Linked DNA regions of Saccharomyces cerevisiae S288C. The protein of the gene in region 1 interacts with the protein of each later gene in a biochemical or structural test. Each region holds a gene or a part of one and is shown in the gene's direction. Other genes may lie near its edges.

Region 1 (7,872 bases):
ACAAAAATCATGGGTTCCATCATACATACATGTTGAGAAAGAAAGAGCCTCAACTGAACTGTCACAGTCTAGGATCAAAATCAAATCTTTGGAGTACGAGATTTCCAAACTGAAAAAGGAAACTGCCAGCTTTATACCCACGAAAGAATCTTTAACTAGAGATTTCGAACAATGCTGCAAAGAAAAAAAAGAATTGCAGATGAGACTAAAGGAGTCTGAAATCAGTCATAATGAAAATAAAATGGATTTTAGCTCGAAAGAGGGCCAATACAAAGCCAAAATCAAAGAATTGGAAAACAATTTGGAAAGATTACGTTCCGACTTACAATCAAAGATACAAGAAATAGAATCGATACGCTCATGCAAGGATTCGCAACTCAAATGGGCTCAAAATACCATCGATGATACAGAAATGAAAATGAAGTCCTTACTAACTGAATTATCAAATAAGGAAACAACGATTGAAAAACTTTCATCAGAAATAGAGAACCTGGATAAGGAACTAAGAAAAACCAAATTCCAATATAAATTCTTGGATCAAAATAGTGATGCAAGCACGTTAGAACCGACTTTGAGAAAAGAATTAGAGCAAATCCAAGTTCAATTGAAGGATGCAAACTCACAGATACAGGCTTATGAAGAAATTATATCATCGAATGAAAATGCGCTAATAGAATTGAAAAATGAACTAGCAAAAACCAAAGAAAATTACGATGCTAAGATTGAACTAGAGAAGAAGGAAAAATGGGCGAGGGAAGAAGATCTATCTCGTTTACGCGGAGAGCTCGGTGAAATAAGAGCTTTGCAACCGAAACTAAAAGAAGGTGCATTGCATTTCGTTCAACAATCAGAAAAGTTGAGGAATGAGGTAGAAAGGATCCAAAAAATGATAGAAAAAATTGAAAAAATGAGTACGATTGTCCAACTGTGCAAAAAAAAAGAAATGTCCCAATATCAGTCCACAATGAAGGAAAATAAAGATCTATCTGAATTGGTTATCCGCCTTGAAAAGGATGCGGCTGATTGCCAAGCAGAATTAACAAAAACCAAATCCTCATTGTATAGCGCTCAGGATTTACTCGATAAACATGAAAGGAAATGGATGGAGGAAAAGGCTGATTATGAAAGAGAATTGATATCTAATATTGAACAGACGGAATCCTTGCGTGTTGAAAATTCGGTATTGATTGAAAAGGTTGATGACACAGCAGCAAATAATGGCGATAAAGATCATTTGAAGCTAGTTTCTTTGTTTTCAAACTTACGTCATGAAAGAAATTCTTTAGAGACGAAGTTAACCACCTGTAAGAGAGAATTGGCATTCGTTAAACAAAAGAACGATAGTTTAGAAAAAACGATAAATGACCTGCAACGAACCCAGACTTTATCGGAGAAGGAATACCAATGCTCTGCAGTTATTATTGACGAATTCAAGGATATCACGAAAGAAGTTACTCAAGTTAACATTTTAAAAGAGAATAATGCCATCTTACAAAAGAGTCTCAAAAACGTAACCGAAAAAAACAGGGAAATTTATAAACAATTAAATGATAGGCAAGAAGAAATTTCTCGATTACAGCGTGATCTCATACAAACAAAAGAACAAGTTTCGATAAATTCTAACAAAATTTTAGTATATGAAAGTGAAATGGAGCAATGTAAACAGAGGTACCAGGACTTATCTCAACAACAAAAAGATGCCCAAAAAAAAGACATTGAAAAGCTAACTAATGAGATTAGTGATTTGAAGGGAAAACTTTCAAGCGCTGAGAACGCAAACGCTGACTTGGAAAATAAATTCAATAGGCTAAAGAAGCAGGCTCATGAAAAATTGGACGCATCTAAGAAACAACAAGCTGCTTTAACTAACGAACTCAACGAATTAAAAGCAATTAAAGACAAATTAGAACAAGATCTACACTTTGAAAACGCTAAAGTTATTGATCTAGATACGAAGCTCAAAGCACATGAACTCCAATCAGAAGACGTCTCGAGAGATCACGAAAAGGACACTTATCGGACATTAATGGAGGAAATTGAATCACTCAAAAAGGAGTTACAAATTTTCAAAACTGCGAATAGCTCATCTGATGCATTTGAGAAATTGAAAGTTAACATGGAGAAAGAAAAGGACAGAATTATTGACGAAAGAACGAAGGAATTTGAAAAAAAATTACAAGAGACCTTAAATAAGAGTACAAGCTCAGAAGCAGAATACAGTAAAGATATCGAAACATTGAAAAAGGAATGGCTAAAGGAATATGAAGATGAAACGTTAAGGAGAATTAAGGAAGCAGAAGAGAATTTAAAGAAAAGAATAAGGTTACCAAGCGAGGAAAGGATACAAAAGATCATTAGTAAGCGTAAAGAAGAATTAGAAGAAGAATTTCGAAAGAAATTGAAAGAAAACGCGGGAAGCTTAACGTTTCTTGATAACAAAGGTAGCGGGGAAGATGCCGAAGAAGAATTATGGAACAGTCCATCGAAGGGGAATTCTGAGAGGCCGTCGGCTGTCGCTGGCTTTATAAATCAAAAAAACCTTAAACCTCAAGAACAATTGAAGAATGTGAAGAATGACGTTTCCTTCAATGACAGCCAGTCAATGGTTACAAATAAAGAAAATAATATCGTGGATAGTAGCGCTGCTGGTAACAAGGCCATTCCAACCTTTAGTTTTGGTAAGCCATTCTTCTCCTCTAATACATCATCTCTTCAAAGTTTTCAGAACCCATTCACAGCATCCCAATCTAATATCAATACGAATGCCCCCCTACGTACACTCAATATTCAACCTGAAGTTGCAGTCAAAGCGGCGATTAACTTTTCCAACGTAACCGATCTAACTAACAATAGCACCGATGGAGCAAAAATAACAGAAATTGGAAGTACATCTAAACGGCCAATTGAGAGCGGTACATCTTCTGATCCAGACACCAAAAAGGTTAAAGAGAGTCCAGCAAATGATCAAGCTTCCAACGAGTGATGTAATATTAAACAATGTAATTATATAAATATGAAACATCTACATATTTTAAATGTCACTAATGTCATTACAGAGGACATAAAGTGATTTATGACACATCCGTACTAGTAGTTAAGTATGAACAAATTTTGGGTTTATTTGCCATTTTTTTTCACGCGGGTTTCTTGGATGCGCAAACCCACCTTTTCTAACACCACTAAGAAATATCAACTTTATAGGCCATCGAAGATAAAGGAACGTAAGTTTGTCAATTCAACCTCACATTTTCAACGCACATTAAGCACTTGGTTCGTGGAGAAATGAATGATCCTCGTGAAATTTTAGCGGTTGATCCGTACAATAATATTACTTCTGATGAAGAGGATGAGCAAGCCATCGCGAGAGAACTTGAATTTATGGAACGAAAGAGGCAGGCCTTAGTGGAACGATTAAAAAGAAAGCAAGAATTTAAGAAACCCCAGGATCCTAATTTTGAAGCCATCGAGGTACCTCAATCTCCTACCAAAAACCGTGTGAAAGTGGGGTCTCATAATGCTACACAACAAGGCACAAAATTCGAAGGTTCGAATATTAATGAAGTAAGGTTATCTCAATTACAGCAGCAACCAAAACCACCAGCTAGTACAACCACATACTTTATGGAGAAATTTCAAAACGCAAAGAAGAACGAAGATAAACAAATTGCCAAGTTTGAAAGCATGATGAATGCAAGAGTACATACGTTCAGTACCGATGAGAAGAAATATGTGCCGATAATCACAAACGAATTAGAAAGCTTTTCAAATCTTTGGGTTAAAAAGAGGTACATACCTGAAGATGACTTAAAACGGGCTTTGCATGAGATCAAAATCCTTCGGTTGGGCAAACTTTTTGCTAAAATTCGCCCACCTAAATTTCAAGAGCCTGAATACGCCAACTGGGCCACCGTAGGCCTCATTAGCCACAAATCGGACATCAAATTTACATCATCTGAAAAGCCAGTCAAATTCTTCATGTTCACCATAACGGACTTTCAGCATACACTAGATGTTTATATCTTCGGGAAAAAGGGTGTAGAAAGATATTATAATCTTCGCCTGGGTGATGTGATAGCAATATTAAACCCAGAAGTACTACCATGGAGACCCTCAGGGCGAGGAAATTTTATCAAATCCTTCAACCTTCGAATTAGTCATGACTTCAAATGTATCCTGGAGATAGGTTCAAGTAGAGATTTAGGTTGGTGTCCCATAGTGAATAAAAAGACTCACAAAAAATGTGGCTCTCCCATTAACATATCTCTTCATAAGTGTTGCGATTACCATAGAGAAGTGCAATTTCGTGGAACAAGTGCTAAAAGAATTGAATTAAATGGTGGGTACGCCTTGGGCGCGCCTACGAAAGTGGACTCTCAACCAAGCCTATATAAGGCCAAAGGGGAAAACGGGTTTAATATAATCAAAGGTACTCGTAAGCGCCTGTCAGAAGAGGAGGAAAGACTTAAAAAGAGCTCTCACAATTTTACGAATAGTAATTCTGCCAAAGCATTTTTCGACGAGAAATTTCAGAATCCAGATATGCTGGCAAACTTAGACAATAAAAGAAGGAAAATAATAGAAACTAAGAAATCGACAGCACTGAGCCGCGAACTAGGCAAAATTATGAGAAGGAGGGAATCCAGCGGATTAGAAGATAAGAGCGTCGGAGAGCGACAGAAAATGAAACGAACCACAGAAAGTGCCCTCCAGACAGGGCTTATCCAACGCCTAGGATTCGATCCCACTCATGGAAAAATTTCCCAAGTACTCAAGTCTTCTGTATCAGGGAGCGAACCTAAGAACAACTTACTCGGTAAAAAAAAAACTGTTATAAACGATCTCTTGCATTACAAGAAGGAAAAAGTCATTCTCGCACCTTCAAAGAACGAATGGTTCAAGAAAAGAAGCCATCGCGAAGAAGTTTGGCAAAAACATTTCGGATCCAAGGAAACTAAAGAAACTTCTGACGGTAGTGCCAGCGATCTTGAGATAATATAAATAAGTATTGGTGTGCTTTTCAGGGCCCCAAAATGGTATTACTTTTGATGGACAATGGCGCGGGTAATGATTGAAAAATTATGATGAAAAATTGAGTGATTTTGGTTGCAATATAGGGAATCAATCCTTAAAGTGAGAAAGAACAGAAGAGAACATCTTGTGAGACACAAAACGCTCCGAAAACATCTCCCTCTTGGGCGCATCCTTCATTCTGTACTCTTTACTTCACTTTACAGTCGTTTTTGGCCGATCTTTGGCAGCATCTAACGTTATTTTTAGGTTCAATACATAACAACAAGACCACGGATATCGCATAATATGGTTGACCTAATGGTGCCGGCGAATGATGACCCTAGTAATGAAACTGATTATTCTAGATCCAACAACAACCACACTCATATTGTGAGCGATATGCGCCCGACCTCCGCCGCATTTCTTCATCAAAAGCGACATAGTTCTTCGTCGCACAATGATACACCAGAGTCGTCGTTCGCTAAAAGAAGGGTGCCTGGAATTGTAGATCCCGTAGGGAAAGGATTTATAGATGGAATAACTAATAGCCAGATCTCTGCACAAAACACACCCTCCAAAACTGATGATGCATCTAGAAGACCGAGCATCTCTCGCAAAGTTATGGAATCGACACCACAAGTTAAGACCAGTTCTATTCCAACAATGGATGTTCCTAAATCTCCATATTATGTGAATAGAACTATGCTTGCTCGAAATATGAAGGTTGTTTCTAGAGACACTTATGAAGATAACGCAAATCCACAAATGAGAGCTGACGAGCCATTAGTCGCTTCAAATGGTATTTATAGCAATTCGCAACCCCAAAGCCAAGTAACTTTATCCGATATTAGAAGAGCTCCTGTAGTTGCTGCTTCACCCCCGCCGATGATAAGGCAACTTCCTTCGGCGCAGCCAAATCAGACGTTTATTAAAAAACTGCAGGAAATTTATAAAATCATAGTGGTGCAGGAAACCGAGTTACAACAAAGATGCCTTTATTTAACCACCTCTCAAACCACAGAACTAAAAAGTTTGTGGGCAATATACAGACTGAACACAGAACTGATCAAAAATTACATCAATTTCATCATCACTGCATTATTAACTACACAACCTATAAACGACTTGATTATGGGCCAAGAAATTTTGGATATTTACAGAATAGAAAAAAGATTGTGGGTTTATGGTATAATAACCTTCTTGGATGTACTAAAGAACTTTTCGAACTTTATGGACCCAGAGGTATGTTGTCAGTTTATTATATACGCTTTCATCTCTGTCTCAAATATGCTTGAGGATATACCGTTGAAATATTCTATTTTGTGGAGACAAAGATTGGGTGATTTGTCTAGAATGGCAATATCGCTGTACCCATCAGGATTCATAGATTGGAGGCTAAGCGCCGAATATTGGTATACCGAATCAATGAAATACATATATGGGTGCGGAAAACTATATTATCATATTGCCACAGTTCAACAGAACAGTTTAGAAGCGTTCGTAAACTTGGGAAAAAGTGTTTTTTGTCAGGATCCCTTCACTCCGTCTCAGCAAACGTTACAGTTATTGATTGAAAATATCTATCAATCTGCATTCATAGATAGAAGTTCTGGTAGTGCGAACAATAATGAAATTGCCCATAGAAATTCTCAATTAATTGATTATTTAAAGCATACTGAAGTAATGCTATTACCTAGTTTCCTGGAGAATATGGATTTACAGCATGTTGTGCTTATGTACTTCAAAGACAAGTTTGGTAAAGATTTTAACGGAAATGACGTTTTCGATACAAAAGACATGTTTTGCCAAAATCCAGAATCATTGCGTTATTATTTTAGGCATGCCCCTGCATTTGCTGAATCTCAGCTTTTACAGCTAATCGGATTTGGCAATCCTAAAAACCCATTTGCATTATTGTTTCAGTTGCCTAAGTATTTGAAATTAAAGAAGGATAAAAGAGAAAAAAAGAGATCCGAAGCAACAGAAACATCTTCCTATACAGATCCATTCGATGTTCAAATAAGTTCAGAAAGCTACTTCCAGAATATCGATGCTTTAAATTCAAGTTTCAATGATATCCCAACCAATCTCAATATTTGGCTGGATTCTTTGAATCATATCAACATGACGTCAATACAATGCAGTATACATGTATTAACAAAATTTCTTCATGCACCATTAGTGGTTGCCTTACCGCACTTTTTGACGTGGTTACATTTTATAGTTGCTATTTTGAAAAAATTAGAAATGGTAAATTCAAAGCAAGTAGTAGCATTCTGGATACATTTTTTAAGAAGGACAATGCCTTGGAATTCAATAGTGACCTTAGGTAATGTATTAGTTTGTTACATGCTGGATAATTTACACCCTTTTTTGAAAAAAGAATTGGAAAAGTTTTATTCATTGGAACTGGATGATTTGATCGAATATTATAACGAAAATGAAAATCTTCCGGAGATTTGGAAATGTTGGGGAACATTGTGGTTTGACGCTATCAAGAAGTGCGATGTAATGGAAATTCCTGGCGTTCAAGACCATCTTTTTTTCGATTCTCCCCTTGATGGTATAGTCTTTGATGAAAAAGATGAAGTTGGTGAAAAATTCTGGATGCGCAGTGTGAGAGCAGTTTTACTTTTGAAAGGTATTGCCAAGAAATTTCCCGATTTGGGGTTGAAAGTAAGCTTTCAAGCTTCTGTGTTTTGTCGTCGAAATGACATACCTCCAGATTATTTCCTAAAGAATTTGACCTTTAAGCTAGATGCATATGACGAAGATAATTATAACGACAACAACGAATTAGATGATCTATATGACACAATTGAAATAAATGAAGAAATCGAGGCTGTTAACATGGACCCACAA
Region 2 (6,818 bases), on another chromosome or scaffold:
ACCATCTATATTCCCAATCTACATGAATGCAGTAATGTATTTTGTATATAAGCGTAGCTGGTTAGAAATTGCCATGAATTTCATGCCAGGTCACGTAATTTACTACATGGATGATATAATAGGGAAGATTTATGGCATCGATTTGTGTAAATCTCCGTACGACTGGTTCCGCAACACTGAAACACCCTAAAGGAAAGGCCGTTTTTATTTACCAAAAACCAATAACAAAAGTGAACGCTTGATAAACAAACATACTTAGCATAAATAACTACATATAAAATAGGCCAAGGATAAATGAAACGTTGACTAGAATGAATGAAAGATGTGAAAACAGTACAGTTAAAACTGCAATCCCACAAACTAAAAATAATATGAAGAACCTGTCTCAAATGTATAAATGCAGAATAAATAAGTAGCCGAAAAAGTCTCGGTAATTTTCTCCCTAATGATAACCCATATTTTCGAAAGACTCTAAAACCTGGTGTATGATCGTTGAGAACAAAATTCGTCCTTGTAGTAGTGTGTGTCTTTAGAAGCCATTCGGGCCGGTAGAAGGAAAGGTGTTGTTAGTCCCAGAGTGATGTAAGCAACATAAAACAACGTCGTCAGCTTTTTACTGGGAGCACTTGCCTTGTATGATTTAGAAACTTGTGAAAATGATTTCATGGCCAGCATTGTTAGTCCTCGATCTTTTGTGATATTTCCTATATATTACAAAAAAATTCTTGGTTTTCGCCTTGTCACAGGGAATAAATGTGGAATATAAAAGAGAGGAGAGGAGAGGAAAGAAGAAAAAAAACTTGGTGTCCGTTTGCAGATGGCCTATTATATACCCTGCTTATATAACTCTGAGAATTAGGAATATTTTGCTGTTGCTATGGTAATTAACATATTTCCAACAATAATGACCTTCTCGAGCTATTGTCTTCCTTGCAGTGGCGAAGAAACCACCGGAGAGTTGCAACGAACTGCCTTTCTTAGGAAGTGCGCGGGCTCTCTATTATGATAGGCCGATACGGTACAAAAGCTTAAAGTTGCCTTTGTATTACCTTTTTTAATCGCAGCAAACAATGCGAAGCACAGGTGTTCACTTTCCTTAGCTTCCCCTTTTCCGTGCTTTTGTTTATACTTCGTACAAAAATGAGGGGAAGGTACCAGGCAGGATACCTCACTGATTACGACGACAAGGAAAAGAGTAAAAATAATTTACTGTAAAACTTCCAAATTTGTCTGAGAGCAACAGAATAGAAGCACAAAGAAATGTACCCTACGAGAGACAGAGAGGGTAAAAGAGTAAGTAAATTCTAAAGTGGTGTGAATGTCATAACTTAAACTATTACCCACGGGATACCTGCTAGGTCAACGTAGCCGCTACTCGAATATAATAAGCGCTTCTTGTATATTTTCTCAATAACAGGTCGAGGCCCCTTCTACCCTTGAATGCTACTTATTACTCACTCATAATACATTGTATAAGCCTTCGCGTTTTTCACGGCCTCGAAAAAATTTTTCTTAACTAATTTACCCAGAAAGGAAATTTCCTTATAAGGAAAATAAATGCAATTCATTAAGTCGGTTTGCTTCTTTTTTCACGAAAGTGAGATACAAGCAAAGGACCAGAGCGAGATGTACTACAGTAGCAGGCTACATACACGTCTTTACCAATAACTTACATTTAGAAAGGCAATATAATCACTACCTAGATTAGCTTGAATCTTGCAGGAAGAACTCAATACAGATAGACCAGATTATGAGTGCGGCACTTCCATCAATTCAGCTTCCTGTCGACTATAATAATCTTTTTAATGAAATCACCGATTTTTTGGTGACTTTCAAGCAGGATACGTTGTCTTCTGATGCAACACGAAATGAGAACGAAGATGAAAATTTGGATGCTGAGAATATCGAACAACATCTATTGGAAAAGGGGCCCAAGTACATGGCGATGCTACAGAAAGTGGCTAATAGGGAACTGAATTCCGTGATTATTGATTTAGATGACATTCTACAGTATCAAAACGAAAAGTTTCTCCAGGGCACACAGGCAGACGACCTTGTGTCTGCCATTCAACAAAACGCTAATCACTTCACTGAATTATTTTGCCGTGCCATTGACAACAACATGCCGCTACCAACAAAAGAAATTGACTACAAGGACGACGTTCTTGATGTTATTTTAAACCAAAGGAGACTGAGGAATGAGAGAATGCTCTCGGACAGGACCAATGAGATCCGAAGCGAAAACCTCATGGATACCACGATGGATCCACCCTCTTCCATGAATGATGCGTTAAGAGAAGTTGTCGAGGATGAAACTGAGTTATTTCCTCCTAATTTAACTAGACGCTATTTCCTTTATTTTAAGCCTCTATCGCAAAATTGTGCTCGTCGTTACAGGAAGAAAGCAATTAGTTCTAAACCATTATCTGTTAGGCAGATTAAAGGTGACTTCCTAGGCCAATTGATTACCGTCAGAGGTATTATCACCAGAGTTTCTGATGTCAAACCAGCTGTGGAAGTTATCGCATATACCTGCGATCAATGTGGGTACGAAGTTTTCCAAGAGGTCAACTCTCGTACTTTTACTCCGTTGTCAGAATGTACTTCCGAAGAATGTTCCCAAAATCAAACAAAGGGTCAATTGTTTATGAGTACACGAGCTTCCAAATTTAGTGCCTTTCAGGAATGTAAAATTCAGGAGTTATCACAACAAGTGCCAGTGGGTCATATTCCTAGGTCGCTAAATATCCACGTTAACGGGACGCTGGTAAGATCTTTATCGCCTGGTGATATCGTCGATGTAACTGGTATATTCTTGCCAGCGCCCTACACCGGTTTCAAAGCTTTGAAAGCTGGCTTACTGACAGAAACTTATTTAGAGGCACAGTTTGTCCGTCAACACAAGAAGAAATTTGCGTCTTTCAGTCTGACTTCTGATGTAGAAGAGAGAGTTATGGAATTAATCACCTCTGGTGATGTTTATAATAGGCTGGCAAAATCTATTGCACCGGAAATCTACGGTAACTTGGACGTAAAGAAAGCGTTGCTGCTATTACTTGTCGGAGGTGTTGATAAAAGGGTAGGTGACGGTATGAAAATCAGAGGTGATATCAATGTTTGTCTGATGGGTGATCCCGGTGTTGCCAAATCTCAACTGCTGAAGGCCATTTGCAAAATATCACCTCGAGGAGTGTATACCACTGGTAAGGGTTCCTCAGGCGTTGGTCTGACCGCTGCCGTCATGAAAGATCCTGTCACGGATGAAATGATTCTAGAAGGTGGTGCCTTAGTACTCGCTGATAACGGTATTTGTTGTATCGATGAATTTGATAAGATGGATGAAAGTGACAGAACGGCAATCCATGAAGTTATGGAACAACAAACAATTTCGATATCCAAGGCGGGTATCAATACAACTTTGAACGCCAGAACCTCAATCTTAGCGGCAGCAAATCCGTTGTATGGTAGATATAATCCTAGATTATCACCTCTGGACAATATAAATCTACCAGCTGCTTTACTATCCAGATTTGATATTCTCTTCTTAATGTTAGATATACCAAGTAGAGATGACGACGAAAAATTAGCCGAGCACGTTACATATGTGCATATGCATAATAAACAACCGGATTTGGACTTCACTCCAGTAGAACCCTCTAAAATGAGAGAGTACATTGCCTATGCTAAGACAAAGAGGCCAGTGATGAGTGAAGCTGTAAACGATTATGTGGTGCAAGCTTACATCAGATTAAGACAAGACTCCAAGAGAGAAATGGATTCCAAATTTTCCTTTGGTCAAGCCACTCCGAGAACTTTACTAGGTATTATAAGATTATCTCAAGCGCTAGCAAAGTTAAGGTTGGCTGATATGGTGGATATAGATGATGTGGAGGAAGCCTTGAGGTTGGTCCGAGTCTCCAAGGAATCATTGTATCAAGAAACCAACAAATCTAAAGAAGATGAAAGCCCCACAACGAAAATCTTTACGATCATCAAGAAAATGTTACAAGAAACTGGTAAAAACACGCTATCATATGAAAATATTGTGAAAACTGTAAGACTAAGAGGGTTTACCATGCTACAATTAAGCAACTGTATCCAAGAATATTCTTACTTAAACGTCTGGCATTTAATTAATGAGGGTAACACTTTGAAATTCGTGGATGACGGTACCATGGACACAGACCAGGAAGACTCACTAGTGAGCACGCCTAAACTCGCACCACAAACGACCGCTTCCGCTAATGTGAGCGCCCAAGATTCTGATATCGATCTACAAGACGCTTGAAAGTTCTAAAAAAAAAAGCAACAGGGCCTTCATTCTTTATTCTTTTTCCCCCTTTTTTTCATTTCCATATAGCTGCACATTCAAATTTACCTTCTGTAACTTACTTCCAAGGCCCAGTTTTCAAGATATGTATTCTGTATTATTATAATTTTACTAATATTATTCATCGCTTTTGCCAGCCACAGACCCCACACATTTCGGACTTAACATTATGACTGCGCATGTCCGTGCACCGCGGCCCAATTCTTGTTTTTTTTTTTTTGCGGAGAAAGGAAAATTATCTTCAAGCGGAATAGGGCCAGCTAGTATTGCTCAGATGTGCCTGTGGAGAGCCGTGCTACAGGGTACCGTCAGCCCCTGAGTATACCAGAGAGTACACCGTGCGGAGTTCTTCCAGAAAATGAAAAGATTGTTCTCAGAATAATTCGTAGCGCTTGATAATAATCCGAATTTGAGATACCTGCCGGCACCCATTCTGTTATCGCCAAGAGGACTTTTAGGGGACCCGCAGACAGTAAAATTTTTTTCATTCATTAACATGTGAAGGCAACATTCATCGATCTCCATCCCTACTGTCAAAAATATAAGTATATATATATATATATTTATATAGTCTATATATATATAGTCCCACTCTCAAACTAATATAACCTTTACAAACCTGTCCGCTCAGTACGGTAGTCCTATTTTATTCCGTTTACTAGATTATATTTGAAGATATTTTTTTATTCTTGAAAATCCCGGACGATAGTATTTTTAGCTGAAGAATATTTGCGGGGAGGAACTATATAGACACTCGAAGCAAGAGGGGAAAAGGAGAAAGAAAAAAAGGTACACTAAACAAGGTCGAGTGTATTGATGTCAAGTGCTTCAAGACTTCAAAACGTCAATATTGTTTCTAACAACTATTCTCGTTACGGAACTTCCGTTTACGATAAGTTGTATCATAGTAACGGCAGTGGTAGCAATAATGCTGGTAAGAATTCTACCACAGTTGGTAAACTGTCATCTATCTCACAAAAGTCCAGGAGCAAACAGCGTCATGGCTCAAATTGCTCCAGATCAATGAGTCAATCACCCTTATCGACGTTCAAATCTCCACTCAGCAATCAAAATCAATCCAGCGCTCCTGATGATTTGGCTTCCATAGGTCAGAGACGCAGTGACGACGTCACATCTTTAGATAATGAAACTATCATAACGATGAATTCAAGGAAATCAAGGATTAAAAAAAAGTATAAATCCTTAATCTCCACCTCTTCAAAAAAATTTATGAATAAATTGTACGATCATGGTGCTTCATCCGACTCATTTTCTATATTTTCTCTGAAGACTTCCCATTCTGGTAAACATGAAAATTCCAGATTTGAAAAGCTGAGGAAGAGAAAATACCATGCTTGGGGCAAATTTGCCGATATCAACGATTTACCAGTTGAAATAATTGCCAAAATACTTTCTGAATTCGAGTTAGGTCGTGATCAAAAGACACTCGTAAGATGTCTATACGTATCGAAGAAGTTTTATAAGGCGACAAAGATCGTCCTTTATAGGCTACCTTACTTCACTTCCACTTACAGAGTGGCGCAGTTTGTCACCTCACTAAGATTACATCCGGATAACGGGGCATACGTGAAAGTATTGGACCTATCACACTTGAAGCCGGGAATTATAGGCCAAGACTCGAAGGATTCTCAAGGCCTAGACGATGATGGCCACTCAAGGCGTCACAGACGCCGTCGCCGCAGATCTACTAACACAAGTTTGAATCTACCTCCAGCTACTCCAACATCTACCATTTCTAACGAGGATGATGCCAATAGCGGATTAATCAAAGACGACGCTTCAAATGGCAGTGAAGTTGAAGACTTGGCATTAGCTGGTTGGAGAGACTGGAGATACAGAAATGAACCCCTTTATAGCTCTCCTCTGTTGAACAGCTTTAAACTGAAAAAAGTGGTTTCTCGTTCTTCTTCTATCACTTCTACATCTTCTGGAAATTCCACCGGTGTTCACTCTACAAGGAGACAACGTTCCAATAGTTCCGTTGCTTCCATAACGACGAGTATCATGTCATCCATCTATAACACCTCCCATGTCTCATTGTCTTCAACCACGTCTAATACCAGCAATGGTAACATCTCTTCTGGTAGTAATCTGTCAAGAGTTTCCACTGCTGGATCATTGAAAAAAGCTTCTGCGAAGTCCACAAGGTCATCTCCTCAGAAAGCAAAACCTATATCTGACATTACGTCATCTTCCTGGTTTAGAATGAGGTTAAGTTCAAGAAATAGAAAGGCAAGGACAGCTAATACGATTAATTTAAAGAACTCGAAGGATAAGTCTGACGATGACTTTAAAGTTTTAAAGCACGATTCGGGGCATCCATCCAATTATCGTTCTTCGACATTAAAATTTAGCATTGAACAACCATTTAGTACGCATCATCCGTATGCCAACAAATTTCTTTTAAAGTACGCTCCTTATAAAGATCTGCCCCTAGGTTATATTTTACATATGCTGAACCTGTGTC

Evidence for each region.
Region 2: the proteins of MCM10 (region 1) and MCM7 form a complex in vitro, tested with the Saccharomyces cerevisiae proteins (2 studies listed by BioGRID).

What each region holds. Positions count from the first base shown.
Region 1 is NC_001141.2:58,139-66,010, reverse strand, and holds MCM10 (Mcm10p), read left to right. Parts: upstream 1-3,282; coding exon 3,283-4,998; downstream 4,999-7,872. Other genes in the region: MLP2 (Mlp2p), read left to right, coding at 1-2,983; ESL1 (Esl1p), read left to right, coding at 5,317-7,872. UniProt on the Saccharomyces cerevisiae protein: Required for DNA synthesis. Required for entry into or completion of S phase. Involved in DNA replication and seems to participate in the activation of the pre-replication complex (pre-RC) and in transcription elongation.
Region 2 is NC_001134.8:624,022-630,839, forward strand, and holds MCM7 (DNA replication licensing factor MCM7), read left to right. Parts: upstream 1-1,750; coding exon 1,751-4,288; downstream 4,289-6,818. Other genes in the region: DER1 (derlin), read left to right, coding at 1-190; MIN7 (Min7p), read right to left, coding at 472-675; COS111 (Cos111p), read left to right, coding at 5,147-6,818. UniProt on the Saccharomyces cerevisiae protein: Acts as a component of the MCM2-7 complex (MCM complex) which is the putative replicative helicase essential for 'once per cell cycle' DNA replication initiation and elongation in eukaryotic cells.